7 linked regions of the Coturnix japonica genome follow. The protein of the gene in region 1 interacts with the protein of each later gene in a pairwise test. Links are inferred from orthologs where the notes say so. Each region holds a gene or a part of one and is shown in the gene's direction. Other genes may lie near its edges. The genes, in order: TLE family member 5, FAM124B, SMARCB1, MLX, DDX6, CCNK and OSGIN1.

Region 1 (4,504 bases):
GAGCTGTCACAATAACTCAGCTGCTATATTGTTCCCTTTAAAAATAAATAGCACAACAGCCCGGCCTGCCTCGCTGCAGCCGTGACGTGTGGGGCTTTATTTTGAAGCAGAAAATGCACCCAGTTTGAAAGGCAGGAGGAGAACAGCAGCCAAATCAAGGCAGGATCCCTGTGCACGCAGCAGCCCTGCCCAGCACTCCTTGTTTGTGCCATGCAGGGATCCAGCAGCCTTTCTCTGCTCACTGGAGCACTGCAGCCTCTGCCCATGGATGGGGCTCTGCTGAGGTGCTGCTCTGGGCATGGTTTCTTCCAGCAAAGGAGAGAAGAGAAGAAGCAATGCTTTGCTGTGGGCATTGCAAGTCAAAAACTGAGCCCTGCATTGCAATGGTGGGGTCTGCACTGTGATGGTGAGCCTTGCACTGTGATACTGGGGCATGCAATGTGATGGTGAGCCCCATAATGCAATGGTGAGCCCCATATTGCAATGGTGAGTCCTGTACTGTGATAGTGAGCCCCAAATTGTGATGGTGAGCTCCACACTGCTGGGGTGCTCAGCTCCTGCAGCATCACATCAAGAACCATAAGCAATAGGTGAACAAGGAACGCCAAGGGCAGACGTGTCTGGCCCATCTGGTGGCCTCCATTGATGGCATTGGTGGACAAAGGAAGGGCACAGGCTGCAGTTGTGCAGGGCCTTTGCACGGCCCCACACTGTGCCCATTTCTCTCAATAGGAGAGAGGTGGGTTTGAAGGGTGGGCTGTTTGGTGGGTAAGGAAGTGGTTGGATGGTCATAGCTTGGGATCTGTGGTCGTGGTGGTCCTACAGACCCCCCTGCGCTGCAACTATGGGGGGGCAGAGGGCAGGGAGGGGACTGTCCCGTCTGCTCAGCCCTTGTGGGGACCCACCTGCAGTGATGCATCCAGGTCTGGGATCAGGCTGTGGGATGCTCTGAGCTCTGAGCACCAAAGATCCTCTGCTATGGAAACGTGCTGATGGAGCAGCCATGGAGGCTCCGGGGAGACCTCACTGCAGCCCTCCAGTACTTGGGGAGGGGGCTTACAGGGAGGAGGGGGAGTGACTTTTACCTGCCTGATAGCAATATGGTGATGGGGAGAACTGGATGCCCTTTAAGGCCGACCCCACTCTAAGCCCTTCTCGCACCCACGATGCCCGCAGCAGGTGCGGGGCTCTGGGACACAGCGCAGACCCCAGACCCACGGAGGGTCCCACGGAGCGGGGTCTGAGCGGCACCGGGTCGGGATGGGTGGGCGTGGGGGGGGCAGAGCATCACGGCTGGGGGGGGTAGGAAGGAATTGGGGGGGGGGGGGCAGCTGGGCGCCCCCCCCCCCCCCGATCCCGGGGGGGGGGGGGGGGGGCGAGGGGGGGGGGGGGGGGGGAATTGGGGGGGGGGGGAGCAGCTGAGCGCCCCGCACCGCCCGGATCGCGGCGGGGGCGGAGACGGCCGTGGGCCCGCCCGGCCCGGGGAGGCGGCGGCGGGGCGGCAGGTGGTGCCGAGCAGCCGCAGGACGGAGCGGATCGCAGCCGCCATTAGACAATAGGCGGCGGCTCGGGGCACAGCGGCGCGGGGCGGCCGCGGGGCCGGGCCCGGCGCGGACAAAGGCGGACGGGGAAAGAACGGAACGGAGCGGAGCGGAGCGGAGCGGAGCGGAGCGGGGCGAGGGGACCGCTGCGGGCGGTGGAACGGGCTGCAGCCTGACATGATGTTTCCACAAAGCCGACACTCGGTACGGCGGCACCGGGAGGAGCGAGGAAGGAAGGAAGGAAGGAAGGAGGGAAGGACGGGGGGGAGCACCGAGAGCCGCCCCCTGCCCGCCCGCAGCCACCGGGAACCGGAGCGGGGGGTGCGGGTGACCTTGGGCGGCGGCGGGCTGCGGTGGGGGGGCGGGCAGGGCTGCGGGCCCCCCATTGGGTGTGCAGCGCTGTGTGTGTTGTTCAAGGGCTCCTCTCACCTGCCGCAGCAGCTCAAGTTCACCACCTCCGACTCGTGCGACCGCATCAAGGACGAGTTCCAGCTCCTGCAGGCCCAGTATCACAGGTACGTGCCGGTACCGCCCCCACCGACCGCCCCGAGCATCCCGGGGGGGTCCGCAGTGCGCCCGGAGCTGGGATCCTCCGCTTTGGCATCGCTGCCCTGCACGGACCGGGACGCAGCGTGGCCAAGAGATGGGCTCCGTGCGGCACGACGCGCTGCCCTCCCAGCCCAGCACAGGTTTACCCCCAGGCTCAGCCTCCCCAGGCCGGTATCACCTCCAGGTCCCACCTGGAGGACCGATGTGAGCATCCCAAGGAGGGGGGGGGGACGCCCGGTGTGCACCCATTGCTGCCTTCCTTTCCTTTGGCCACGCAGTTCGGCCCAGAGTTGGCCAAAAGCTGCAATCCAGGCAGGGAACGCTCTGCTCACTGCCCAAAAGGTGGGATTCTGGAAGGAGAAGGAAGGAGAACGCTCTGCCTCCCCCACAGCCAGGTCTTACCCCAATGCAGGACTCCATGCACAGCTCTTCCATCCCTCCATCCATGCACAGCTCTTCCATCCCTCCATCCATGCACAGCTCTTCCATCCCTCCATCCCTGTGCAGCTCTTCCATCCCTCCATCCATGCACAGCTCTTCCATCCCTCCATCCCTGTGCAGCTCTTCCATCCCTCCATCCATGTGCTGCTCTTCCATCCCTCCATCCCTGTGCAGCTCTTCCATCCCTCCATCCCTGTGCAGCTCTTCCATCCCTCCATCCATGTGCTGCTCTTTCATCCCTCCATCCATGTGCAGCTCTTCCATCCCTCCATCCATGTGCAGCTCTTCCAGCCCTCCCTCCTCTCGCTGGGAGTTTTCCTCCCCTCTCCCTGCTGGCTGCCATTCTTGGCTCACAAATGCTGCAGGGAGCACTTAAAGCCAAATGCTTCCGCTTTTCCGCCTGCGGAATGGCTTCTGCTGACCCAAAAGCTGGCTGCCGATGGGCTCTCTTGCTGTTTGCTTCCTAGCTGCACGCATGCACCAAACCATTGCTCCGTGTGTTGCCCTTTCCCTATTGCTCCCACCTCCCCGAGCTCTGCATCGTGCAGCATTGTGGCCCCCCCTTGCAGGACCCGATCTGCTCACAGAGCAGCAGGTTTGGTGGAGGTGAAGCTGTTTCTTGTTTGAAACATAAAACCAGCACATGCTGCTTGCAGCTGCCGGGCTGGGGAGCTGCACAGAGCACAGCGAGCAGCACGTCTGCTCTTAAGGGTGCAAAGAACCCAAAGGAAAGGGGGAAAAGGCATCATTCCAGAGGCCTGCACTGCACCTGGGCTTCCCCAGTATAGGAGGATCTGGTTGCTTTGCTGAGCTGCACTGGGCACACAACAGGCTGGGATGGACCCTGCAGGATGCAACCCAGGATGCAACCCGCTGCCCTGCTGCTTCTCTCACTGCTTTCTGCCTTTGCAGCTTGAAGTTGGAATGCGACAAACTCGCCAGCGAGAAATCGGAGATGCAGCGTCACTACGTCATGGTGAGGAGCTGCCGGGGCAGCGCGTGGGTGGGGAGCAGGTGCTGCTGCTGCTGGGCTCGTGCAAACGGGGCTCCTCGTGCACACAGGGCTCCTCGTGCAAACAAACAGAGCTCCTCGTGCTCTGCACCCTGTGTGTGTGCTGGGTCGGTGGGTGCAGGATGGACATGCAGGGTGTGAGCAGGGAGCTGCTGTCTGTGTGCAGAGCTGCTCTGCTGCTTGAGCAAACTTGGAGTGCTCAGGAATTGACTTCCCGTGCCAATAGCTTGCACTGGAGCTGCCTGTTGTGTGAGGGGGGTGGGTTATTTTGCGTGTGTGTTTCCTGCAGCTCCTTCCCAAGCAGCTGGAGCTGTGTGCAGCTGGAGCACAGGGCTGAGCCCTTCCATTTGCTGCCGGAGCAGCCACGTGGGCGTTAGGAGATGGGCCAGGCACAGCAAACAGAGCCGGGCTGTGCCTGTTCCCAGCAGAGCACTGAGCTCTCCCTGTGATGCCAGGGCTCTGTGAAGGTGCTGAGTGGGCTCTGGGTTAGTTGAGGTCCCACCTGGGCTGGGGGCAGCAGGAAGGTACAGATGTGGGGGTCTCTTTGCATGCTGGAGTCCTCATCGTGTCTGTTTGTTCTCTTCTTCCCCACTCCGCAGTACTACGAGATGTCCTACGGGCTGAATATTGAGATGCACAAACAGGTATTGGGGGGGGTGGGCTGCCTGCTGTGCCTTCTGTCCCTTCAGTGGCATTTCAGGATGTCAAACGTCAGCACTGATTTTGGGATCTCCAGCTCTGGCATTGGGGAGCACCTTCACATTTTTTCCACCCCATGACCTTATAAAAACGTCTTTTCATGCAGGGAGGGGAAAAAAAAATAATCATTGTGGCCATGAGCTGCTTTTCCAAACCCTTCTGGAAGGGGGGACCCGGCTGGGGGTGCTCTGGCTCTGAGCTGGGCTGGGTGCAGTCAGTGCTGGGCACCTCGTGGTGGAGGCTCTGCTGTAGCCTGGCTGAG
Region 2 (4,460 bases), on another chromosome or scaffold:
TGCTGTGTCCTGCTGACAGCGGGACTGAGCTAACCTGCTCTGATTGTGGCTCCATTTTTGTCTTGTTTTCTGCTTGGATCCTGATTTACCATGTGTGATGAGCTCTGTTTTCTGTGTCCAGTTGCTGATAGATCCCTGCCAGATCCTTTTTACTAGCTGGTTAAAAAGGAGAACTAAGGGACTACTTGGGAGAGAAGTCCCCTGTCGTAAGTGCAGTAGGTCAGACTGCTGGGGTTTTACTTTCCTCAGAACTGATGAATTTGGAGGCACGGTGCTTGGGGCAGGAGGCAGGCTGCAAAGCTTATTGTGCTCAAGTAGGGCCCTACTTCTGCTTTTTGTCTGAGTGCTGCTGTCGATGGCTGTCATTGGCCTTGGTGCAGGAAGAAATTGAAATCGGCAGGAAAAAAAAATGTCTTGAAGGCTAACGAGCCCAAGACAGTGCCGGGATTTAATGAGGGCTGCTTCTGTGATGCTGAGGTAATTCAGGCACCCTCCTGGAAGTTAATTACCGATGGTCTGCAATGCCTGAACCTTTGCCGTGTTGCTTCATTACAGAAGTTACAATGAATTTATTAAATCCTGCGGTGCGTCATCAGTCCTTGGGTGTCAGCTGGAGTGAAGGGCTCAGCACCTCAGGGCTGGGAGCAATCAAAGAGCTCATTATGGAAAGGAGTTATAATTCTGCTGTGCCCTTGCACTACAAGCCTTGAAACACATCACAGACCATATTCTGAGCCTCACACAATACAGTACTTGTTGGCTGTTTGCACTGGGCATTTATTTATGCTGGGCTTACTGATGTTCTATATTGGTGGTCAGTACGTCCCTCACGTGCTCTTACTCAGGTCAGCAATGCACAGCATGCCGTACCCTGTGCTGTGCTGCATGTTGCTGCTGTGTGTGGATGGTGTTCCGGGGCATTGTGGGAGCGCAGGCTGATTTTTCACATAGGGCTGAGCTGCTGTTCTCCTAATCTCTTACAGCAATCTTTCTTGGCATGCTGGGTAGGTCACAGTGAATAATGTGCTTTTCCGCTTGGCAGCCAGACTGGAAAGCTGGGGGAAGGGGAAGCAGAGGGAAAGTCAGGAGCTGCTCACATTTAGGGCAGCCTGCCTCTTTGTACCCTTCCCTGTAGCAAAGAGTTGATGAATCGCTTCCTTTTTCGGTGTTTCAGTAATACTCTGTGTTGTTCAGAGCTCATTTACAGCGCTGTAATGTTTTGAACACTCGCAGCCTTCGCTCTTCCTGTGATTGTCCAAGGGTTGGATGTTTTTGTCTCTGTCCCAACAGTTACTACTTGTTGGAAGTGCTGCAGCTATCTTTCTTAAGACCTTACATTACTTTGGTCTCATGACTGTATTTCTATTACTGAGTGTGATCTTTAAATAAAAGAAACGTGAAGCTCAGGTCCCTGTACCGTTAAACCCTGGAGATTTTCTTCAGGTGCATATAAAGCTAGGGCTGTATTTAATTAAAGGAGTTGGGGGGGGGGAGGAATAGTTCAAGTCCAGTGTTCTGGATAGCAGACCCCTGACCCTTGCACAGCAACTTGGGGTGGGCTGAGCAGCAAACTGCTGCCCCATGAGGTGCACAGCCCCGAGCCCAGGCTCCTCCTGCAGTGCCTGGGCCTGATTCATATTGGCCCTCATTGTTATCTCTCCTGTTCACATGTTTTTTTTTTTTCCTCTTTGTTAGCCTGCTTTCCTTCCTTGTTTTTAAAGAATAGCTTATCTGTGTGCCCCAGAAGGGTGTGACTTGGGGAGATCACAGCAAGCTGAAGTTCAGCAGCTGACTGCAGGAACACACGCTGAGGTTTTCACACACGGCGAGCACCCGGAGATATATGAGATGTGTGCAATTGGGAGAGCGACTGCACTCCTGCTTCAGCCCCCCAGCACCCTGCTCAAGGACAGTCACTGCACCACAACAGCGCCTCAGCGCATGTGCTGTGTGCACCTGGTGACCAGCTCTGGGTCACATTGCTGGGCCAGAACGTGCATCTGAGCTCTGATATGACGTGAGCAAACCAGAGCTGGTCCCATCACACCGTGGCACGCTTTCCTGCCTCGTGTGCGTGTGTGCAACCCTGTCACCTCATTGGGTTGTTGCAAAGCTTCTGAGTGATCAAGTTCTTTTTCTACCTCAGAGTGCAGTGCCTGTGCTGCTGCCACTCCGAACACTGCAGGAGGAAACTGGTTTTCGGTTTGGTTTTGTTTGTTGAAGAGGAGCTTTATGATGGGTGACAGAGCAGAGCCTCTGATGACTGTGCATCTTCTGGCCAACTCAGGATACTCGGCGTTCCTGCAGCAAGCTCTGGATCGTCTCATGGATTGGATCTGCCCAGATGTTCCACTTTTCTTTGTGTCCGAGCGAGCTGCTCCACTGAAATACTACGAGAGGTATCGCAGGAGGAACTGCGGCTTTCCTGGGATATCTGTCCTCCTTTTTCTGCATGAGGACCTGGGAGAAGAGCGGATCCTCCAGATCCAGGATCTCCTCCAGCGCCCACCCTGGCACCACCAGTGTGTCCCTACCACCTGGGCACGAAGCCCTCCCCACACACCAGCTCTGCAGGACTTTTATGGCTTGGATGACCAGATGCCGGTGTGGGGCATCCGGCGGGTGGGCTGCAGCCCCGAAATCCTGCGTGTGACCCTCTACTTCAGCTTTGATAACTACGACGATGCAGTGGGGCTGTACGAGATGATCCTACGGAAAGAAGCAACCACACGGAAAAGCAATTTCTGTGTCTTCATGCTCTATGCCACTAAAGCTATTGCGGTCCAGCTCTGCCTGAAGCAGCTGCCCATTGGGATGGCTGCTGAGCCCAAGGAGTCGTCGCTTTTGCAGTTCAAGGTGCAAGAAATGGGGCAGCTGGTGCCTCTCCTGCCCAATCCATGCGTTCCTATCAGCAGCACCAGGTGGCAAACACAGGACTACGAAGGAAATAAAATTCTGCTTCAGGTATGTGTGTGCACGGTGCTTGCAGACCAGATGCCTTTTGGGTTTTTCTATTCCAACAAAGAGCAGGACTGATTCAAAATGGAAATGAAGGTTTTGCTTGTCCGTATTTCGTTTTTAATTCATGAACTCAGCAACCAACTTCCAGTGCTACGATGTCATTGATAAATGTGAGCACGGATCCTTAGAATGCTTCCATATTGTTAGCACCCGAAGTAGAAGGTATTAGTTCTTTTTCGAGCCACTGAATTCACCTTTTTCCCTTTCCAGCCTGTTCTCTTTCTGATGCAACCTTATAAATGCTCCAGAAAGCAGAGTTTTAGCCCCGTACCATCCCAAACCAGGTGTTTTGCAAGTACAGCGCTGATGCAACATCACCCATGGTAGTTTTGTAATTGCAGTTGGGCAAAAGGGCTAAATAAATGCCATGGGAAAGCCGCCCCCTTTCTGTTGTGCTATGCAGCCCTGAGAGCATGCGAGCACAAATCAAACCAGGCTAAGATGGTGCTGAGGAGGTGGTGCTCACTGTGATTGTACGTGGGAGCAGGAGGGAAGTTCATCTGTGTGCTCTTTGCTTTGTAACAGCTCCTCACACCTCTGGCTTCCTTGGTTGCTATTTGGATATTTTTATTATTATTTGGATATTTAAATCATTTCAATGTATGTTCGATTTTCTTTATTTTCCTTTCTTGGTGAGGAAGTTCTTCTTTAAGGAAGTTCTCTCCACCTTTTCTCAACAGGTGCAGGACAGCTCCAAGCAGAGGGAAACAAGCTCTGTGCTTCCCAACCGGCGCAGTGCTGTTGCTGTGGATGGACTGCTGCACAGCCCTATTGCAGCCCCTCTCCCCACTCTGTGCAGCGCTGAGCAGGGAGGCCAGCAGGGCTGGGCCCTGAGGGGCAGGGTGACACCCGTGCCAGGCCATGCCCTCCCCATGCAGCAGCCCAATGGGAGCCTCTCTGGCTCTTCTCGGGGCACCACGATGCTCTCCCGCCATGTGCCCATGAGCAGCAGGCAGCAGAAGGGCTGGCCATGCCGGCCAGCAGCAGAAACCAACGTGGACACGGGGCTGGCTGTGGGCAGAACTGTGGGCTGTCACTGCTCACTGCAGCACAACCTTGTGCAGCCATGGGTGCTGAGTACGGCCTGCACCGCCTCGCACTGTGCACAGCCACCATCTGCTGTGGCCAACAGGAGGAAAGCAGCGGGACACGGGGCTCCAGGCTCCCGTGTGCAAACACGGAGAGACAGCCCTGGGACCAGGCCTGAGGAGGAAGAGGAGTTCTTCATATGACTGGAAACAAGCACATGGCAGGCTCCTCATTTGAGTGCTATCAACGTGATTTTGTCTGCAAGCACAGCAGCTGGGCTGTGTGTGGGGCGATGGAAACCTTGAGTGGGTCTGAAACAACAGAAGATGTGAGGCTGTGGGATCAAAGGACCTGCTGAAGAGCAAACAGGGCAGGAGAAAGAAATGAAGCCATGCAGGATGCAAGGATGT
Region 3 (4,284 bases), on another chromosome or scaffold:
CAAATGCACACAGGCCTCTCTAACACCACAACCGTGAGCCTGTGAGAGGCCAGGAAAGGTAGCCTGGTACATAGTATGTAAAGCTAAATCTTGTATTATAACTTCCACAGATACAGAAGAGACAGCTGCCAAGAATCCTCCCAGTCCCACCACTGGGTTGTACTGAGGGGAGAACTGAATTCCTTACTCCCTTGGTGGGCATTCATGAACAGCTTTCCCTGGGAGCTCTGCCCAGGCACCAGCTCCAGTCTGCAATTCCATGCCAAGTTATCTGACATCTAAGAACTTCTGAACATGTGTTTCCCCTTTTCCATCTCCTTACCAGATTCTCAGTACTGGATTTATGACGGCGAGAGACGAGTCTCTGGTCCCACACCAACTGTAGAGCTGGGCCTCCCTGCTTCTCCCGTGCAGGCAGCTCTGGTATGGGGGACAGAGAAGAACAAGATTTACATCTTCAGTGGAGGCAACTACTGGCGCTTCAACCCTCGCACACGCCAGGTGGACAACATCTACCCCCGGACCATGGCTGACTGGCGAGGCGTCCCACAGGAGATTGATGCTGCTTTTCAGGATGAGCTGGGTCAGTGCAGCAGGGACAGGCCCTGCTCTGGGGCACGTGCTCAGGGTGATGCTACTTCCCACCAGACCCAGCTGTTACCACTCCCAATAGTGACAAGCCCAGCAGCTCTGCCTGCAGTTCAGCCCAGGCAGCAGTGCTGAACTGCTTTCAGTAGTACCTAGTGCAGACAGCTGAGTGAAGGCTGGCTCACTTACTCCTCCCTCTCTCCTCCACAGGTTTTGCCTATTTCCTGAGAGGCCGAGACTACTGGAAGTTTGACCCGGTGCAGGTGAAGGTTCTGGAAGGTTACCCCCGTCAGATCAGCCAGGACTTCTTCAGCTGCACACCGTCCTCCAACTCCTTCCGATGAAGGAGCATCCCCTACTTTTCCCTTCCAGCCCTGACCTCCAGCAGACACTGAGGGCTCTGCTGCCATCCCTGGCTCCTTCCAGGCGCAGACTGACACAACAGACGTGTCACAACAAGTGACAAAGTTTGCTCCTCTCCCGTTCCAGCAGCAGCCCCAGCTTTGGTCCCTGTACAGAAGCATCTGCCACATTCCTTACAGACACGAGCAGCCTTAATGTGGCCGGGCTGTTGTAGCTCTATCATCCCAAAGCCATCAGGCCTTGGAACGGGACCCCCCCCATAACACCGACCCGCCGCCATCACCCCCCGCGCTGTGAGGCCGCAGCCCCTCAGCCTGCCCCATCCCAGTGCTGGACACTGCCCATCCGCACGGTGCTCCCGGGTACAGAACCAAACCCGTGGGCGTCAACTTTTGTACGACGCGTATCAACTCTTTTTATATCTATATCTATATATACTGTGTATATACGTATCGATGTACCAATAAAGCGCCTCTTTTCTACCCGCCGCCCGACTCACTTCAGCGCCGGGTGGGCGGGAACGAGCGGGCGGGGCGGTGCCCTGCGCATGCGCAGAGCAGCAGCGGAGTAGGCCGAGGCGCTGCCGTTGTCGCTGCGCCCCGGTTCCCTCAGCGCCGCCGGATCCCGCCGGGCCGCAGCGATGATGATGATGGCGCTGAGCAAAACCTTCGGGCAGAAGCCCGTTAAGTTCCAGCTGGAGGAGGACGGAGAATTCTATATGATCGGCTCCGAGGTACGGACAATGGCGGCGGCCCGGGGAGGGGGGGAGGCGGCGAGGCGAGGCTGTGGGGTGGGCAGCGCTGTGTGGGAGCAGAAGGGCTTTGGTGCTGTGATACTGTGGGGATTGTGCTGTTAAAAGGAGCCATAACTGCAGGTTATCTGGCTATATGTGCCACACAGGGTACGTGGAGGAGGAGGGATCGCCTTCCAGCCCCCCGCTATAAAGTTACAATTAAAAATGGTCTGAAAGATGTTAAGGTCAAAATAAGGCCTGTGTGACAGGGAATGTGAGCCCCTTTGTGAACTATACACACTCTACAAGTACAGCAGCAGTTAAAAAACCTGGTCGCAGAGCCTAGAATTCATTGTGTTGTCCAGCGAACCCTGCTGGAGCCTGCACTGCTGTGTTGCATTGTGCTGAGAAGAGCAGAGCTGCTGTGCTGCTGGTCAGCGGGTTTGGAGAGGCACAGATCGCATCCTGCGTGTTCCAAGGGCTTAAAGTAGAGCACAAGGCAGCGCTGTGTGTGTCTGAGCCATCCACTCTTGGAAAGCAGTCCTGACAATAGCAGGACATGGGGAAATGGTTTTAAGTTGAAAGAGGGAAGATTTAGGTTGGATGTTAGGGGGAAGTTCTTCACTAGGAGAGTGGTTAGGCCCTGGAACAGGCTGCCCAGGGAGGTTGTGGATGCCCCGTCCTTGGAGGTGTTCAAGGCCAGGCTGGACGGGGCCCTGGGCAACCTGATCTAGTAAAGGTGTATGTTTGGTGGCCCTGCCAGGCAGGGGGTTGGAACTACATGATCCTTGAGGTCCCTTCCAACCCCGGGTCATTCTGTGATTCTGTGATCCCAGCGGTGTCTGGTGAAAGGGATGCTGCTGGAGAGCTGGGTGTGCAGCTCCATTAAATCCTTCCTGGACACTGTGCTGATGTAGCAAAGTCCCAAAAATAAACAAAAACTGATTTCTGTCAATGAGCTGGAGTTTCTTAGCAAACTAGTGAAATAAGTGCTGATAAGAGCTATGTATTGTGCCAAAAATTGTGCTTTATGATGCCAAACCTGATACAGTGAATTGTGAAAAGCAACAAAAAAAATCCTCTTAGGAGGTTATTTATGAGGTCACTGTTATTGTTTCATTATTGAAAATTTGTTTCAGTTTTTGATAATTCGTTTCTTTAAATGGAATACGTTTCCAGGTCACATCTTTGCTTTTCTTCTTATAGGTGGGGAATTACCTGCGTATGTTCCGGGGCTCTCTGTACAAGAGGTATCCCTCGCTCTGGAGACGATTAGCCACAGTAGAAGAAAGGAAGAAGATAGTGGCATCTTCACATGGTAAGAAGATGAGGAAATGCTCCCAGTCTAAATGTCTGCCTTGAAGAACTGTCTCTGTAGGCTCAGAAGCTTGTGTACCTTTAGGGCTTTGTGACAGCGTTCTGCAAAATGTGGCTGTCCTGGAGTTGGCTGCATTTATCACAATGCAAAAGACACACCTCAAGTTAAATACCATATTCCAGAAGAGATTTCTAGTAGCAAAGAGGGGTGGTTCTGTCCCTTAACACATTGAAAGGATGCTCATGTTCTTTATATGTTTATGACTCCCAGAATTTGCAGTGTGTTTCTACTGATGTTACCACCACAGTGAGAATGCAGCCACCTTGGTATTATTTTTGATGGGAGACTAATATTAAGAACTTATATTCATTAGCAGTGCAACTTGTCATGTGTTCCTCAGGCTAAGGCATAATAAAGATACGTGGTTCATTCTATACTTAAGCCTCCTTCCTCTAATATCCTGCTGACCTGTTGCTGATTTCTTTCTTTCCCAACAGAAAATCAGCGGTCTCACAGTCCAAGAAGATGTAAGTCTGATTTGTGTGTTATGCTTAGCTGTGCTACAGGAATAATCTCTGCCATGACCTTTGGCGTTATTACAGCATATAATAACATCTCATCCTCTGATCTCTCCCTGTGGTCATCCCATTGTGCATCCTCATCACATGCTGAACTTTTCTTTCTCAGAACATTAATGGTCTGTGCAATTCAGTAAGATCTGTCCAGTGGTTCTTCCCTTTTTCCAGGTCTTAAGAGTTTGTACTCCCTGGCTTAGCTTTCATTAGTATCTGATGTGTCTGCTCAGCCACTCGCTTTTCCATTGAGTGTTATATCTCCATTTCCACTATTAAGTCCACTGAGGATTTATAGTTTTCTGGACTGTGGAAAAGATTTTACATCATTGTGGCAGACTGTAGTTGTGCAGAGCAAAATGATGTGATAGTGTGGGGCTATTTAATGTAGGATTTTTTTTTTCCCCCTTATTACTTATAAGCTTATCTACTATTTACTATTTTAATGATGTGTTTTTTGCTAGTCCCACCTGCACTGACTCCACTTTTCACTGTTCAGCTTGTTTATGCCATATGCTATGTAATGCTTTTTCATGTTAACTATTAGCATCTTTCCTGGTAACAGATCATGGATATACAACATTAGCCACCAGTGTGACACTGTTAAAGGCCTCTGAAGTGGAAGAGATCTTGGATGGAAATGATGAGAAATACAAGGCAGTGTCTATCAGCACAGAACCTCCCACCTACCTCAGGTAACCTCAGTGTTG
Region 4 (4,219 bases), on another chromosome or scaffold:
CACGGGCAAGTGGTGGCTGCGTTTGGGGCAGGTGGGGCTGGGTGTGCTGCGGCACCGGCGCTGTGCCGGGACACGCTGTGCAGGTGAGTTGGATTCTTTCTGCTCCCAAATCACCTCCCTCTGTCTTGCAGAAATCTTGAACAAAGACGGGACGATCAACAGGAAGATCCTCGGGGCAAAAGTGTTTGGAAACCAGGTACGAGCAGCACAGGGAATGTCAATATTTAACCTCATGAGCAGAGAACTCTGTGCTGGCGCTTTGATTTCCAGCCCTTTGAGCTGATGCCACGTCCCTGTGCAGTAGCACACAGTAAATCAGCGGCTGTGCAGGATCCACATCCAGGCAGCAGCTGCTGTTGCTCCTCCAGCTGTGGCCCCCTCGTGGACCAACCTCTGGGAGGACCCTGACTCCGCTGCGGTTCCTTTCCAGGAGCGGCTGAAGAACCTCACAGACATCGTGTGGCCGGAGATCGCGCGGATGGTCAGGGAGCAGATCAGGGAGGCAGGAGCTCAAGGTACCGGGTGGCTCTGATTGTAGTGGGCGCTGCCGGCGCTGCCTGTGTCCGCCCGGTGACCAGGAACGGCCTCGTTCCGTAGGAAAAGCCGTGATGGTGCTGGATGCCGCCGTGCTGCTGGAGGCCGGATGGCAGGAGATGGTGCACGAGGTGTGGGCGGCCATCATCCCCGAGGACGAGGTGGGTGACTCCCCTCGGCCGCCCCGTGATCCCCGTGACCCCCCGTGACCCCCGTGATCCCCGTGACCCCCGTGATCGCCGTGATCCCCGTGATCGCCGTGACCCCCGTGATCGCCGTGACCCCCCGTCCCGTGCTGGTCCCGCAGGCGCTGAAACGCATCGTGAGCCGGGACGGGCTGAGCGAGGAGGCGGCGCGTGACCGGCTGCGGAGTCAGATGAGCGACGGGCAGCGGGTGCGGGAGGCGCATGTTGTGCTGAGCACCGCGTGGGAGCCCGACGTCACCCACAAACAGGTGAGAACGGGCCGCTGTAACGGGCCGGTGTAACGGCGCCGAGCCCCGCACGAAGCTGCTGACGGTGCCCGTTGTCAGGTGGAGAAGGCGTGGGAGCTGCTGCAGCGCCGCATCCACCGCGCGGCCACCGCAACGAGCAGCTGAACCGCAACGGGACCGAGAGGAGCCGGGACCGGGAGCGAACGGAGCGAACGGAGCGAACGGAGCCGCACAACGCGCCGGGACGGACCGGAAGCGCCGCGGCCCCGACCGGGCGGGTACGGCCCGTGCTCGGCACGGCGGGCGCTGCCGGTTCCGCGCCGTGATCCCGCAGCCGAGCGGCGGTTAAAGGGCGGTCGCAGTTTCCCGGTGTCCGTGCTGTTTGTGTCCCGTTGGTCCCGTTGTTCCCGTTGTTCCCGTTGTCCCCACGTGGCGCCCCCTCGCGGTCGGGAGGGCGGCGCTTCCCGGCGTCCCCCGCGGCTCCCACGTGACCGGGGCGGGGGAAGATGGCGGAGCCGCCCGGTGCCGCGGCGGAGGAAGCGTGGGGGAAGGTAACGGGGCGGCGGTCGGACCGTGGGGCCGAGGCCCGGAGCGCCACCATCCGCCCCGTGACCGCCGCCCTCCGCCCGCAGGTGGACGCCGCGTACGGGGACAATGTCCCGGAGCCCGGTAGGTGCCGGGGGGGGCGGTTCGATGGCGGGTGGCGGATGGGGCGGCTCCGCTGAGCGGCTCCCGCTGTCCCGCAGCGCTCGGTACGGACAGGAAGGGCAGCGTCGTGTCCCGCGCCAACAGCATCGGATCCACCAGCGCCTCGTCCGTGCCCAACACCGGTACGAACGGGGGCACCGGGCTGGAGCGGGGCGGGCGCGGGGCAACCGGGGACGGCGGCGTCCGGGGGGGCCCGTCCCGACCCGCGCTCAGCGCCGCTGTGTCCGCAGACGACGAGGACAGCGATTACCCGCAGGAGTTTTACAAGGAGTCCTACAAGGACCAGCGGCGCCGGGCGCACACGCAGGCGGAGCAGAAGCGGCGCGATGCCATCAAGGTCGGTGGGCGCCGCGCCGCGTTCCAGCCCCTCGTCCCGTGCTGGATCCGCTCCATGAGCCGCGTGTGGCTGGAGCCGCTTTGGCCGCGTGGTGGGAGCTGGGCTGTGGGTCCGTGTAACCGCTGCCGTTTGTGCCTGTTCTGCTCCCTCTGCCCCTGCAGAAAGGCTACGACGACCTGCAGGCCATCGTGCCCACCTGCCAGCAGCAGGACTTCGCCATCGGCTCCCAGAAGCTGAGCAAGGCCGTCATCCTGCAGAAGAGTGAGTGTGTGCAGGAGGCAGCAGGGCACGATCCGACCCTCAGGCACCTCAATGTGGTGATTGTGTGTGATGGTGCCTCGGGGACCGACCTCAGGGAGGTCAGAGGGGCCCCATGTGCTGCTTACTCTGTGTTTTTGTGTTCAGCCATTGATTACATTCAGTTCCTGCACAAGGAAAAGAAGAAGCAAGAAGAGGAAGTTTCTACTCTCAGGAAAGACGTGATGGCCTTGAAGATAATGAAAGTGTAAGTAAGAAGTTATTTGGTTGCTGCCCCCTTCTTCCTGCTGTTTTTCCCCATGTCCCTGCAAAGCTCCCCCGATGTGCTCAGTGCTCTGTGTGCAGTCTGGCACCTGGGGTCGTACCAAATTGCCTCCAGTTCTGAAGCTGTTTTCAGTGTCCAGTTACTGGCAGCAGCTTCTGCCCCCGCTGTCGCCCAGCTGCTGTGCAGTACGAGGCTTCGATAGCACTGAGCCCCAAACTTGGTGTTTCAGGAACTATGAGCAGATCGTAAAAGCTCACCAGGACAACCCGAGTGAGGGGAAGGACCAGGTCTCTGACCAGGTGAAATTCAACGTTTTCCAAGGCATTATGGATTCCCTCTTTGAGTCCTTTAATGCCTCCATCTCAGTCACGAGTTTTCAAGAGCTGTCAGCATGTGTCTTCAGCTGGATTGAGGAGCACTGTAAGCCCCATGTGAGTACAGCAGACACAGGGGGGTTGATATAAGAGCAGAGGCTGTTGTGTATGGCTGCACCTGTCTGGAGTGTAGGCCTGTGTGCAGCTTTTCTTTCGCCTGGGCCTTCAGAAAGGCAGAATGTGGCTGACACTGGACCTGGGGCATGGGAGCTTGGGTTCCTCTCATTTCCCAGCTGCTTGGCAGTGAAATTCAGACACTGAAAAACAGAGCTTACAAAGAGGGTGCTTGTTCCCCAGCACTTTGTTCCATAAGACACTTAGAAGTTAGGAGGGAAGAGAATGAGCTGCATGGGCAGGGCCAGGTCCTTGTTGTGCTGTGGCTGCCTGGAGCCCTGCAGCCTGAGAACACAGACAGGCGATCGTTTCCCATACAGGTGCTGAGATCTGTGGCACCAGGTGCTGTCTGTAGCATTGAGCATGGGAAAGGCTTTTCCTCCCCTGAACAACTGACTGTGTCTCCTCTCTGCCCCAGACCCTACGGGACATTGTCATCGGGGTCCTGCACCAGGTGAAGAGTCAGCTGTACTGAGCATCCCTCGCTGGAGCACCTCCCGACCGGGTGACAGCTGCCAGGAGAGGCTGGACCATCTCCCTTGTGCTGGTCCTTAAAGCTTCTTCGATTATTTATTGTCACTACAAAACCAAACCAAAGCTGTGCAAACAGGTACTGTCACAGTCAACGTTACCAAATACTGCTAAGGACTTAGTGAAGGGAAAGAAATAAGTGTGTATTGAATATAGATCTTTTAAGTTGCCAGTGTCTTTAGCTCAGGCAGGTGGTTGCAGTTGGGTTTATCTGTGCCACTGATTTCAGGGCTGCAGCTCAGCAGGTGAATCTGCTCTGTAACCTCACACCTGATATAAACCCTATTGAACCTGGGAGCAGGGAGAAATAGGAGAGTGCTAAAAGCTGTTGCTGTGCTAATGCAGCTCAGGAATAGGGTTATTCTGCAGCTGCAGGTTTTCAATACCTCCCTCTGAAGCAGCTCTTAGAAAAGCAAGAGTCTGCTTTTAATTTCTGTAGCTGCTTTGGAGAAGGCCCGGGAGAACTGAGGGCAGGTTTATTAGCATGTCACTGCCAGGGCAATGCTCATTACATGGAGCAGCAAGCGAGCTCTGTGCTGAAGGAGTGCCCTGGGGCCTCGCTGTGCTGACTCTTCAGTAACACCCCTGAATGGGAAAGGAGTGAACTTTCATTGCAGCCTTTTCCTCCTTGTTCTGATGAGTGCTGAATTGGGCCTGGCTTTATC
Region 5 (3,712 bases), on another chromosome or scaffold:
TTGTTGTGAAAATTGAGCTTGATGCTTTGCTTTTTCAGTACATGTAGCTGCTTGTCAGCAGTAGCCCACTGAGCAGCAGCATCCTGTTTTCTTTGCTCATTTTAAGTGGTGTGGGAAGGAACAGAAATGTAAGACAAAGGAGGAAACACGGCCTAATCTTAGTCCAGTTTTGCTTGCTTTGGGGTTAGTTGTTGCAGATCTCTTTTGTGGTGAGAAACCTTCCAGTCAGTTCTCTTTTGTCATTGAACTTAAATGGTGGTGAGTGCACTCCCTGGTGCAACACTCCAGTTTCAATTAGTCAGAGCCTAAGCCAGGACATGGTGGTACCTTTATGACACTTGTCTGTCTCTTTTGTCCCATCAAACTGCTTTTGGAAGTGTGCTAATAATACATACTGGTTGGAAATTATCTCAGACCTGTGAGACTTGAATGTTACGATAGCAGCTCACTTTTTTCCTCCCATAGTTGCCACTGCACCCAAGCAACATGAATTTGTTTCCCTGCCTGAGAGAGTGCCTAATGGAATGCCCGAGCTCTTACTGTTTGCTTAACACATTTTCAGCTGTGGTGTTTTTAAACTGGGTTACTACCAATAGAACTCATCAGAACTTACTCCTAAATGGGACTGGGGAGGAGGAGAACTTGTTTTCTTCTGTATGGGGGCTTTTCAGAGAGGAAGAGTGTCTGAATCTCACTGAGAGTCAAATGGAGTGTGTGTTTACTTAGTTTTCTCCCCAGAAATAATTTCATCTTATATTACTCACGGATATCAAATAGACAGTTCCTGAACACAGAAATGTGGGTCTCTCTTTTTTATTATTATTATTTTTAGCACCAGTATTGAAATATACATGTGTGGATTTATTACTTATTACTTTAACATCACTATGTCAGTATGTCAGTGCTCAGTTTGAAATCTGTGTTCCAGTGGACTGATTTGGTGACCCAACAGGGGGACCTGAATCATGACAGGATAAAGATCTCCCAAGTTTGCTTTGCACTTGGCAGGCTGCTCAGTGCCTTTGTTTCCCATTTCCTGCCTGTTGCATCCCACTTTGCTCAGAAAAGATTTGAGCTTGTACCTGTAGGTGCTTATAGCTGAAAATATCACATGTCAATCACTTGCCAAGAAAATCAGAATGCAAAATCAAATGATTAAACCAGTCTTTGTCTTTGTTTGTTTTGCTGTAGACCTGGCGATGACTGGAAGAAGACTTTAAAACTCCCTCCAAAGGATTTGAGAATCAAAACTTCTGTAAGGATTCCTGAATTGTAGGAATGGAAATTGTGGGAGAAGCTGCAGTGAAAAAAAAGTCATACAAGATTCAAAAGCATTTAAGCTTTTGCTCAGCTGTTTTAAATGAGGGATTGCTTTGTAAAATTAATCTGTTCTCTTAAAATTACTTGGGAGAGATGCTTCTCTCGTGAAGCTCAATAACACTGTTTAATGTGTTTCTTGCTTTTTATTGCTGTTGCAGCTTGGGTCCAGTGTCTTCTGCAAGGCAGAAATCAAAAGATGTCTGTGTATATTCACAGGATTGTATTTGGTTTTTGGAAAGTTAATGTTTACTTCTCTACTTTATGATATTGTACTGATAAGTGAGAACTCCTGTCTAGTAATGGAACATGCTTTCTGATCTTCCTGCATAAGCAGCCTCTCCTCGGGTCTGACTGATGCTTGGCTGTGGGTTGTGTGACCTAATCTTATGGATGTGCTTTTTCTGATTATCCAGGACGTGACCTCCACAAAAGGAAATGAGTTTGAAGATTACTGTTTGAAACGGGAGTTGCTGATGGGAATTTTTGAAATGGGCTGGGAAAAGCCATCTCCTATTCAGGTTGTTATAATAAACAGACTAGTTATAAGCAGCAACTTAATTATTATAAACTCACTGATATTACATGTGCTTAAATGGTGAATGCTTGTGTCATGGCTCGGGGAAACTGGGGATTTGAACAGCAGGATTTTGTGACTGTAGGAAGGAAGAAACACTGATTTCCAAGTAAATCATAGCTGTTGGCTGATGAAGAGATTGGGATTGACTGAGATTTTAGAGAAACTAACTTTGATTTTCCTTTTCGCTGTGGAGACATCAATGTGTTCCTCTCATTCAGAAGCATCAGTAGCCATAGCAGTCACAGTGGGGACAGGGCTGTTCTTATACATTCCTGGAAAACTTTGATTTGCTGTAGGTTGCATATCTGTAGTTATAGAGGTATCTGTGTGGCATTACCACCCATTCTTGGCTTTTTTTATCATACACATCTGGAAGGAGTCATAACAGAGGTTATAGGAGAGAGATTAATGTGTTAGTAAGTTTACTTTTCTGTCCCTTCCTCTTTAAGAGTTGTTTTACGAGTAACAATTGACGTGTGTGAAATTGCTGGGGAGACAAGGTTTATTTTCAATTGTTGCTTAGAGAGTTATCATTGACAACTGGGCCACTTTATCTCTGTAAGGAATGAAGGAAGCTACGGCTTATTTCTTTCAAGTAGATTCTAACACATCACCTTTTCTAAATGAAAAGATTGTAGGTATTTGGGTTGTTTAGTTGTTGCTGCGAAGGAGAGCAAACTGAAGAGTACATGTGCCCTCTCTCTGAATGGCTGAAGTCTCAAAACTAGCAGGCTTCCCTTTTGTAAAGTCTAATCACAGAAGCATGCAGGTTTGAGATTACATGGGCTGATGCGTTTCCAGCATTAAGAGATGCATGTCTGTTTCTGTTGGAGGAGTTTCTGTCTGTCACTGTCTCCTCAATTTTTTTTTTTAAATTTTTTTTGTAAATTACTTTTTGCTGATGTATCAGTGTGGGTTTACCATGCCTGCAGTACCCAGTACAGAGCACATTAAGAACTTTATTTGGGATATTGGGAGCAGAAGTGTTGTATTGTGTTGAAGAACTCTTTGCTGATAGATTTAACTCCTTCCATCTGTGAGAGCACAATACACGCAGGATATTCTGTTCACAGAATAAACATGTAATGTTGTATTGTTAGTGAGGAGAATTATATTTTGTTAATCTCTTTAGTGAGCCTAGCTGGTGATTGTTCATGAATTGACTGTCATTTCAGGAGGAGAGCATCCCCATTGCTTTGTCTGGTAGGGATATCTTGGCTAGAGCGAAAAATGGAACAGGCAAGAGTGGAGCCTACCTCATTCCCTTACTTGAACGGCTAGACTTAAAGAAGGACAACATACAAGGTCAGTTGGGATGGGTCTGCCTTAGCTGCATCCAGGTGGTGGTATTATTGCTCACTGTCTAGACTTGAATCTAAAAGCTGTTTGATGAAATGCAGTGATGTAGGTTGTCTGCTCACACTTGTAAAGCAAGTACATGGGGAATGGTAGAGGGAAGGTGGAATTTTATAAGTTGCAAGTTTCCCTTCAGGAACTTGAATTGGAAGGTATCTTCCAGACTTTACTTTCTTGCCTCAGAAAGCAGATTAGGAGTAATAAACATGTGGTGGCTGGGAGAGCTGTGTGGAGCGAGTGTGAGGGAGCACATGTGGAATTTATCTTGTTTTGAGCAGCTTCTAGGACTTCTATAGATACCTATCAGGATATTTATAGTGGAACTGCAAAACTTTGAAATATGGCTTTGTGAAGCTTCTATGTTCTACAGGGAAGTATTTAAGACTGTGTGTTAATAGTAATTCATGCTGATACTTTTAACTTTCAGCAATGGTGATCGTTCCCACCCGTGAACTAGCC
Region 6 (3,712 bases), on another chromosome or scaffold:
TTTTTATGGTTGGAAATGTGTTTGTGTTGGTAACATCTTGCTGATGCTTTTCTGAAAGAAGGCAAGTTCTACTTAGGGTCTCTAACCAAGAAATAATGTTCTATCAAATGGTCAGTCCTCCAAATTCTGTGTTTTTCTTTAAGAATGAAAAGCTTGAATTAGCAGCACAGTAATATTAAAAGTTAATGTGCTTATTAAATCTTTTCTGGGAAAATTCCACAGATCTGTTAATGGAAACTGACCGTGCTTTAATAATGTTGTACTGTGTTGGATATGCAGACAACTCTTTGAAAGCACTTTTGTTTTTTAGGTGACAGGAGCCTGCTGTCTCTTCCTGGCAGGGAAAGTAGAAGAAACACCTAAGAAATGTAAAGATATAATTAAAACAGCCCGTAGCTTGCTAAATGATGTACAGTTTGGACAATTTGGAGATGATCCAAAGGTAAAAAATACTCACATTGAACTCATTTTCATCCTATTGTACCCAGCAACACAACAAGCCTTAAAACACTGGTTGGTTTCAGTTGTTGCAAATTTCACATTCAATGTGCATTTATGGCTCTTTTGGGTAACGTAGTAGGTAATTATGAAAATAATTCTTGCTAATAGAGTTTTTGCGAATACAAGTAAAGGCTACTCCAGTAACTGTTTATATTAAAAGCTTAGATTTGATTTCATGTGAGCTCTGGTATTATTTTGCAATTTAAAATCAATCTGGAGTCAGTTTGTGGTCACAGCTATAAATGCCATCAGGACATAAATCACGCTGGGCAGACTTAAGAGTGCCATTAGAAAAGAAGCAGTTGAAAGTCTCAGGTCAAATCAGAGCATTATCTCAAATGTTTTAAGGTTCCTGTTTATAATACTTAGCTTAGCAAAACTAAGCGTTTCTCAGAATTATTGCAAATGGTTTACTGTATATGCAAGAAAGATGTAAAACTAGAGAGAGATGGTGAAAACTTACCTTTTCTTTTGTATACTGAACAGTTTTATGCCATATCTACTTCAGTTTTTTATTGTATGTAGGAAAAGGAATTTAAAGCACAACTTCTGCCCTTCTGCCCCAAATAACTATGAAGAAAAAGTATCCGGGTTTAAAACAGCGCTTAAGTTGGAAAGGTTTCTATTCTCCTAATCAAACCCTAAACAAGGAAAAGCGGACAAACATGTTTGCATGGAGATGCTCTGTAGTTATACTTTATACCAGCATAAAACATCTGTGAGTAAAAAAAGGAATAATATTATGGTTGCCTTATTGTGTGTTGTAGGAAGAAGTGATGGTCCTTGAAAGAATCTTACTACAAACAATAAAGTTTGATCTGCAAGTGGAACATCCATACCAGTTCCTTCTCAAATATGCTAAACAACTCAAAGGTAAAATGCTGCAGGATGAGAGAGTGCTGCCCGTTCTTAATTTTTGACGTTTTATTTACATTAATAGTGCAGGTGTGTTCTTCTCCAGTTTGTTTGCATTTCTGATAACTTAGTTTCTTTTACCTCTTCTGATTGCTTTTCAGGAGACAAGAATAAGATTCAGAAGCTGGTTCAAATGGCATGGACGTTTGTCAATGACAGGTGAGATGGTACCAGGAGACACGTTGGAAATTAAATGGTTGCTGTTGCTTACTCTATTCTGTGTTGAGGTATTTCTCTGACATTTCTTTGCTTATTGTGTGCTTTCTGTTCATAATGAGGGCAGCTGAATTATTTTTTGATCTAGATATTTTTTTACTTTTTATCTTTACCATGTTATTTCCACTGAGTGGAGCATCTGGGATGACTGCAGAAGTAGTCCATTAAAACCTTGATATTTTATGGGAATGACTTAATATTGCTGTCAGAAATGAACAAACAAAACAAGGTGTTTATTGAAAAGACCAACACAAATTATAGATGTCAAGACAGAGTCTGGCTTCTTGCCCACCTGAGACATGTAGCTTATTCTGTTCGTTGCAGGGGAGTTGGACTAGATGGCGTTTAAGGGTATTATGTATGTCTGAAATTGCTGTGATAAAAAAGCATAGTGAAGGAACAGCTTAGTTTTGTAAACTCATTTCACTTAAGTGGCTGTTTGTAGGTTTCTCCATTCAATTTGTCTGAGATGTTTAAGTGCAGTGAAGAGTCAATGCTGTTAGTAATAGCTGTTGTAAATTAAATTTCTGTTTGCTTTTTTGTATCCCAGCCTCTGTACTACTCTGTCACTGCAGTGGGAGCCTGAGATCATTGCTGTTGCAGTTATGTACTTAGCAGGCCGTCTGTGTAAGTTTGAAATACAGGAGTGGACTTCAAAACCAATGTACAGACGATGGTGGGAGCAGTTTGTCCAAGATGTTCCTGTTGATGTTCTGGAAGGTATGAGAAAAATTTGCCAGAAAGAGACAAGTGTTTTTTTCAACTATATGATCTAAATCATAAGGAAATGCAGATTGCTTTCTTTATGGGCCTTCAGTGCTATGTCCTAAGCAGATTTGTAATTGAACTTTTTAAATGACCATTTTAGACTGGTTATCACGGTTAGTCTTCTGATCAGTGTTTGCTTTACTAATTATTTAAATTGTTTAGTTTATAACACAGCTAATTAGCTGCTCATCTATGATGTGTTGTTTTGCTGGGAGTGTTTGTTTGTTTGCTTTTAGTTATTATTCCTTTTCTCCCCATTTTTAGATACACAGTTCTGTGAGCACTGGAACTAATGCAGCCTGCTTTCTAGCAAATTACACTAGCTTTGCAGTCACTGAAGTTTATTTTCAGTAAAAAGCTTAGTTAATTATGGTGAGTTAAGTGTACATTTGTACATTATGAGTTGATCGTAATTGAGTCCTATCTCTTCCTTTTTAAAGACATCTGTCACCAGATACTGGATCTGTACTCACAGGGAAAACAGCAAATGCCTCATCATACTCCTCATCAGCTGCAGCAGCCACCATCTCTTCAATCTACACCTCAGACACCTACAGTACAACAATCACAGCAGTCCCAGGGTTCAGAGCAATCGCAGACTCAGCAGCAAAAAGAGTCACAGCAGTCATCACAACAGCAGCAGCAGCAGCAGCAAACACAAGCACCGCAACCTAAAAAGCCTTCGCCTCAGCCAAGTCCTCCCAGACAGATTAAAAGACCAGCAGTAAGTTTAACTTTGATCTTCAAATTGCATTTTATTTTTAAGCTCATCTGATGACACTTTTACTTAAAGGCTGTGTTGTGCAGCAGATTTGTTTGCTTTAAGACTCATCCTGGTAATTAATTTTTTATGGTAGACTTCTGTTAGTTGTATGGTAAGTATGTTAGTGTAGAACAGCCTTGACAGTTTTGCCATATCGATATTCTCATTTCACTTGAGGCAAAACCAAGTGGACAGACATTTAAGTCAGCATCAGCTACTGAGGTTCATGGTTCTGCGCCATCTAAATTTGTCGTGTTGCTGTTGAAGAAGCTTAGTTAAGGAAAGGTCTCTGTTTTCTATTACTATCTCGTTGAAAATAAGAAACTTCATGAGTAATAGAATAATACTGTAATTATTCCGCATGCTTTTACAAGGTCTTTAACAAGTTATAGCTTACAAGGTATAGCCTGCTACTAGAGGACGAAAAGCTGTGCTGTGCATTGTGTAGTTCTTGCACTGAGTACTAACTTTAGAGTTATTCAGGATAGAAGGCTGATTAAATCTGTTCAAGAGCTTGGAAACTGAGAGAGCTCTTTATAGGCAGTGTGT
Region 7 (3,712 bases), on another chromosome or scaffold:
CCTGGAGAAGTGGCCTTTGCTCAAGTGGTTCACACACACAGCATGGGCACTGTGTCAACATGACCCACTGCAGGCTGCTGTGTCACTTCAGCTCCCCTCCCCTCCATCATTACTGCATTATGTAATGCTTGTTAGTCACTCCGTTGTGAGCAGCTGTGAGCCAGAGGCTGACGGCTTGTCATCCAGGCACTGTGAAATATTAAACGTGCTGGAGGACGGCCATGTGAAAAGTTTCCATAGGCTGCTCTTGCTGGGCTCTGCAGTTGCAGTCTTTCCACTGTCTGCAGGAGGAGGTCAGATATCCTGCAGCCAGTCAGAAGTACTATATTCTGAGGCACTCTTGGCACAGCAGGCTTTTTTCCTTAACGCACTGCCTGCAGTACAGACTGGGGCTGATTCCAGTAAGCGACCAGCTTCCAGATCTTTAAAGCTGATGAGCAGTGACTGAGTTTGTCAGCAGGCCAGAGACTTTAAGCTTCAGGTGAGGCTGGGGAGCAGAAGGGGATATGTGAGGGCAGAAAGACTTCCCCAGCTGTGTCTGATGGGTTATCTGTAGCTTGAAAATACAAAGGATTGTGTCTGAAGTGTGCATCTTAACCTTTGGTTTGGTCAAGATGCTTAAAACACTTCTTAAAGGGCTGTACTGTCTGCAGGAGTAAAAAAAAAAACATCTCCATTGTGTCTCTTCAGGGAATGGACCTTCTGGAATCTGCCTCTCATATTTGCTGACAGGCTACACACCTTACTTCAAAAGACACTCTCTTCATCCTCATCCCATTCTTCAAAGTAAACTAGAAGAGGCAGCAGATGTGTCCATTTTGGACCAGGTTTGTATAAAGAAAAATGACTTTGTTAGCAGAAGATGTTAGTTTATCAACATAGTGAGGCGCTCGGGGGGTTTATTATAAGTGATGTATTCATCTGAATTTTCAGAGTGTGTAGAACACACTCAGACAGAATGAGTCTTAAGCAAAGCATTCTAGTTGTCCAAATTTCCCTTGTGTGAAGTGCCAGCACTGCTAAGATCCTCAAGAAAGTTCTCAAACAGTAACAGGGGCTGTATGCAATTAAATGAACTTCACAAAACTCCAAAAACAGTGTCTGGAAGTATAGCAGTTATAAACAGTCTGCAGCCTGACAGGACACGCATTCACAGCATCTGATCTATCTCTCTTTAGGATCTGGAGTATCTGTCTGAAGGTTTAGAGGGAAGATCCAACAGCCCTGTGGCTCTTCTGCTTGATACCCTTCTGCGACCTGATACAGACTTTGGTGTGAGTGCAGAATCTGTGCTCACTTGGAGGCACGAGACTGAAAGAGCCATCTCCCACCTGGTCCTTGGCAAGAACCCTCCAGGAGGTGCCTGGCATGTATGTGAACCAAAACCTAACTAACTGCTTACAACTGTATTTTATAAAATAGCCAAATGCATTGACTGGAGAGTTGAAGGTACTCCAGTGTGCTACTCACACATGCTTGATTTTGCATGTACAAAGAGGTGTAAGAGCTTTAAAAGGGTGAACAGGACTGGCATTTATATTTCCAGTTAATTGTTCTTTTTGGAGAAAATGGGGGGTTTCATCCATGCCAATGCATCTAATGAAATCATTGGCTTCTTCTGTTGTGAGATATACTGAAACTTGAGTTACACTTAGCTTCTTACATTAAATAACTGAATGCCCTTTAACTGTTTCTTGCTCCAGTCTATTGAGGGCTCCATGATTACCCTGAGCAGAGGGGAATGGATGGGACTCCCAGATCTCCAGTTCAAGGACTGGCTAAAGCAAAAGAAAAGGTGAGATACTCATGGTCTGATTTCTTGCAAGCATCCATATGTTATTTGGGAACTTGGAGTGGGCTGGACTTCTTGAATGCAGCTGCCTATCTTTAGTGGGTGATTCTTCTGAAAGGTCACTCAGAGTATTCAGACTATGAGTTCTTCTGAACTGTCTGACTTCTACAGCTACTGCTACTGACCCTAATGATAAATACAATAATCTGAGATACTCCACAGCTTCTCAGATGCTTCTACTCTGTAACTGTTGAAGCCTTAGAGTCTAGTAATTGAAAGTGGAATAGCAGTGAGATACATGTGAGAAAAGAGTGAATGAGTGACCATGTTCTTAGGGATGGAATTTGTATTAAAAATTTTCCTCTGTCCAGCAGCTTCCAAATCTGATTACCAGCTCTGTATACTGGGAATAACTTAGCTAAAGTCAGGGAAAATAGATAAGCCTCCTGTAGTAGTGACGGATTAGATAGCTCTAGGATACATTCAGTGGAAGAAGTAAGAAATTCCAGGCTCTTACTTAACTGCTGCTTGACCTTTGTAATATATTGCAGGGGCCTCAGAAACCATAGAGCCACAGCAGAAGACATTGCTCAATACTACCAGCATTATGTAGTGAAGAAAGGGCTGCAGAAGAACTTTAGATGTGGGACTGTTGTAACCTCTGTGAGGAAAGTAAGTGCAAAGAGCATCTCCAACCACGCACAGAAAGATCTACAGAAGAGTGACTTGCTCTGGAACTTCAGTGAGGAGAATATGGAGGTCTTTCAGGTGGATGGATTTGTCAAAACTGTCAAAGGTGACAAGGAGCCCTTCACTGTCTATGCAGAGAATGTGGTCTTAGCTACAGGAACGTATGATAGTCCCACTTGGCTCAGGGTCAAGGGAGAGAACCTTTCCTATGTCCATCACCAGCTCTCTGCCCTAGAGGAAGCAGTGAAAAACAACAGTATTGGTATCACATCAGATCCAGTTTTGATTGTAGGTGCTGGTTTGACAGCTGCTGATGCGATTCTCTTTGCTCACCACTGCAGTATTCCAGTAATTCATGTTTTTCGGAGACGAGTCAGCGATCCAGGTCTTATTTTTAACCAGCTACCCAAAATGATGTACCCTGAATACCACAAAGTCCATCAGATGATGAAGGAACAGTCAGCTGCTTGTGCTGGGCCCTATGAGTGCTACGTTAGCCTGCCTGAGCACCATGTTCTATCTTTTGGCAAGGACAAGAAATGTATCCTTCAAGACAAAAACGGCTGCCAGAAAGCTTTTAAAATTTCCATGGCTCTTGTTCTAACTGGTTCAAATCCCAACCTCTCCTTTCTGCTGAATAATGGCATTGACTTGGCGATGGACAGTGACCAACCAGTCAATCCCAAGAGGAATCCCATAGATGTTGACCCATTCACTTATGAATGTACTCAGGAGAAAGGGCTTTATGCTCTAGGGCCTCTAGCTGGAGATAACTTTGTACGCTTTGTACAGGGAGGGGCTCTGGCTGCTGCCAGCTCTCTCTTAAGGAAAGCAAACAAAAATCCTCCATAACAACAAAAGCCACCTATGCTAACAATGTCTGAATGGGTTACTGCTGATGTCAGAGAATTTGATATGCACGTATTTAAATGAGAAGGCTACTCTTGCCATTCTTCAGGATTATGCAGTTACTAAGTTCTTGCTGAGTTATTTGGAAAGGTTACATCACCAGAGTTTCATTCATGGCAGTAACTTCATTCCCAGGGTATTCTGCTCCTTTTCTACATGGCTGTGTATGCAGGCAGCAGGGGCACTGAACCTTCCTCCTGGAGAAGTGGAGGGTAAGGTAGTGAATGCTCTTTTGTGTTAACACCTCCCAGGTTTCTGAAAGTTGAAATGAGGAATAATCAATGTAAATTACTTCCAGACCGCAGGCTGACAACTCTCTGT

What was found.
Region 2: the proteins of TLE family member 5 (region 1) and FAM124B interact in binary tests that used the Homo sapiens proteins (3 or more experiments, as listed by UniProt). The two-hybrid records come from large-scale screens. The link is inferred for Coturnix japonica from reciprocal best matches to the Homo sapiens genes TLE5 and FAM124B.
Region 3: the proteins of TLE family member 5 (region 1) and SMARCB1 interact in binary tests that used the Homo sapiens proteins (3 or more experiments, as listed by UniProt). The link is inferred for Coturnix japonica from reciprocal best matches to the Homo sapiens genes TLE5 and SMARCB1.
Region 4: the proteins of TLE family member 5 (region 1) and MLX interact in binary tests that used the Homo sapiens proteins (3 or more experiments, as listed by UniProt). The two-hybrid records come from large-scale screens. The link is inferred for Coturnix japonica from reciprocal best matches to the Homo sapiens genes TLE5 and MLX.
Region 5: the proteins of TLE family member 5 (region 1) and DDX6 interact in binary tests that used the Homo sapiens proteins (3 or more experiments, as listed by UniProt). The two-hybrid records come from large-scale screens. The link is inferred for Coturnix japonica from reciprocal best matches to the Homo sapiens genes TLE5 and DDX6.
Region 6: the proteins of TLE family member 5 (region 1) and CCNK interact in binary tests that used the Homo sapiens proteins (3 or more experiments, as listed by UniProt). The two-hybrid records come from large-scale screens. The link is inferred for Coturnix japonica from reciprocal best matches to the Homo sapiens genes TLE5 and CCNK.
Region 7: the proteins of TLE family member 5 (region 1) and OSGIN1 interact in binary tests that used the Homo sapiens proteins (3 or more experiments, as listed by UniProt). The two-hybrid records come from large-scale screens. The link is inferred for Coturnix japonica from reciprocal best matches to the Homo sapiens genes TLE5 and OSGIN1.

What each region holds. Positions count from the first base shown.
Region 1 is NC_029543.1:645,086-649,589, reverse strand, and holds the start of TLE family member 5, read left to right. Parts: upstream 1-1,492; 5' UTR 1,493-1,718; coding exon 1,719-1,745; intron 1,746-1,958; coding exon 1,959-2,056; intron 2,057-3,443; coding exon 3,444-3,507; intron 3,508-4,142; coding exon 4,143-4,187; intron 4,188-4,504. UniProt on the Homo sapiens protein: Transcriptional corepressor. Acts as a dominant repressor towards other family members. Inhibits NF-kappa-B-regulated gene expression. May be required for the initiation and maintenance of the differentiated state.
Region 2 is NC_029524.1:6,955,202-6,959,661, reverse strand, and holds the start of FAM124B (protein FAM124B), read left to right. Parts: upstream 1-1,539; 5' UTR 1,540-2,232; coding exon 2,233-2,964; intron 2,965-3,701; coding exon 3,702-4,253; 3' UTR 4,254-4,460.
Region 3 is NC_029530.1:7,048,579-7,052,862, forward strand, and holds the start of SMARCB1 (SWI/SNF-related matrix-associated actin-dependent regulator of chromatin subfamily B member 1), read left to right. Parts: upstream 1-1,484; 5' UTR 1,485-1,591; coding exon 1,592-1,684; intron 1,685-2,890; coding exon 2,891-3,002; intron 3,003-3,499; coding exon 3,500-3,529; intron 3,530-4,139; coding exon 4,140-4,269; intron 4,270-4,284. Other genes in the region: MMP11 (stromelysin-3), read left to right, coding at 326-583, 799-932.
Region 4 is NC_029542.1:4,577,816-4,582,034, forward strand, and holds the start of MLX (max-like protein X), read left to right. Parts: upstream 1-1,357; 5' UTR 1,358-1,473; coding exon 1,474-1,518; intron 1,519-1,599; coding exon 1,600-1,636; intron 1,637-1,713; coding exon 1,714-1,797; intron 1,798-1,905; coding exon 1,906-2,012; intron 2,013-2,173; coding exon 2,174-2,273; intron 2,274-2,417; coding exon 2,418-2,517; intron 2,518-2,764; coding exon 2,765-2,966; intron 2,967-3,441; coding exon 3,442-3,498; 3' UTR 3,499-4,219. Other genes in the region: bifunctional coenzyme A synthase-like, read left to right, coding at 1-31, 132-196, 431-515, 598-695, 842-988, 1,044-1,316. UniProt on the Homo sapiens protein: Transcription regulator. Forms a sequence-specific DNA-binding protein complex with MAD1, MAD4, MNT, WBSCR14 and MLXIP which recognizes the core sequence 5'-CACGTG-3'. The TCFL4-MAD1, TCFL4-MAD4, TCFL4-WBSCR14 complexes are transcriptional repressors.
Region 5 is NC_029539.1:4,836,413-4,840,124, reverse strand, and holds part of DDX6 (probable ATP-dependent RNA helicase DDX6), read left to right. Parts: intron 1-1,191; coding exon 1,192-1,255; intron 1,256-1,733; coding exon 1,734-1,838; intron 1,839-3,072; coding exon 3,073-3,202; intron 3,203-3,680; coding exon 3,681-3,712.
Region 6 is NC_029520.1:43,662,806-43,666,517, forward strand, and holds part of CCNK (cyclin-K), read left to right. Parts: intron 1-310; coding exon 311-442; intron 443-1,268; coding exon 1,269-1,374; intron 1,375-1,517; coding exon 1,518-1,575; intron 1,576-2,182; coding exon 2,183-2,352; intron 2,353-2,840; coding exon 2,841-3,124; intron 3,125-3,712. UniProt on the Homo sapiens protein: Regulatory subunit of cyclin-dependent kinases that mediates activation of target kinases.
Region 7 is NC_029526.1:103,801-107,512, forward strand, and holds part of OSGIN1 (oxidative stress-induced growth inhibitor 1), read left to right. Parts: intron 1-690; coding exon 691-827; intron 828-1,178; coding exon 1,179-1,370; intron 1,371-1,703; coding exon 1,704-1,795; intron 1,796-2,343; coding exon 2,344-3,334; 3' UTR 3,335-3,712. UniProt on the Homo sapiens protein: Monooxygenase catalytic activity. Involved in regulation of cytokinesis; promotes RHOA activity, probably acting locally at the midbody in late cytokinesis.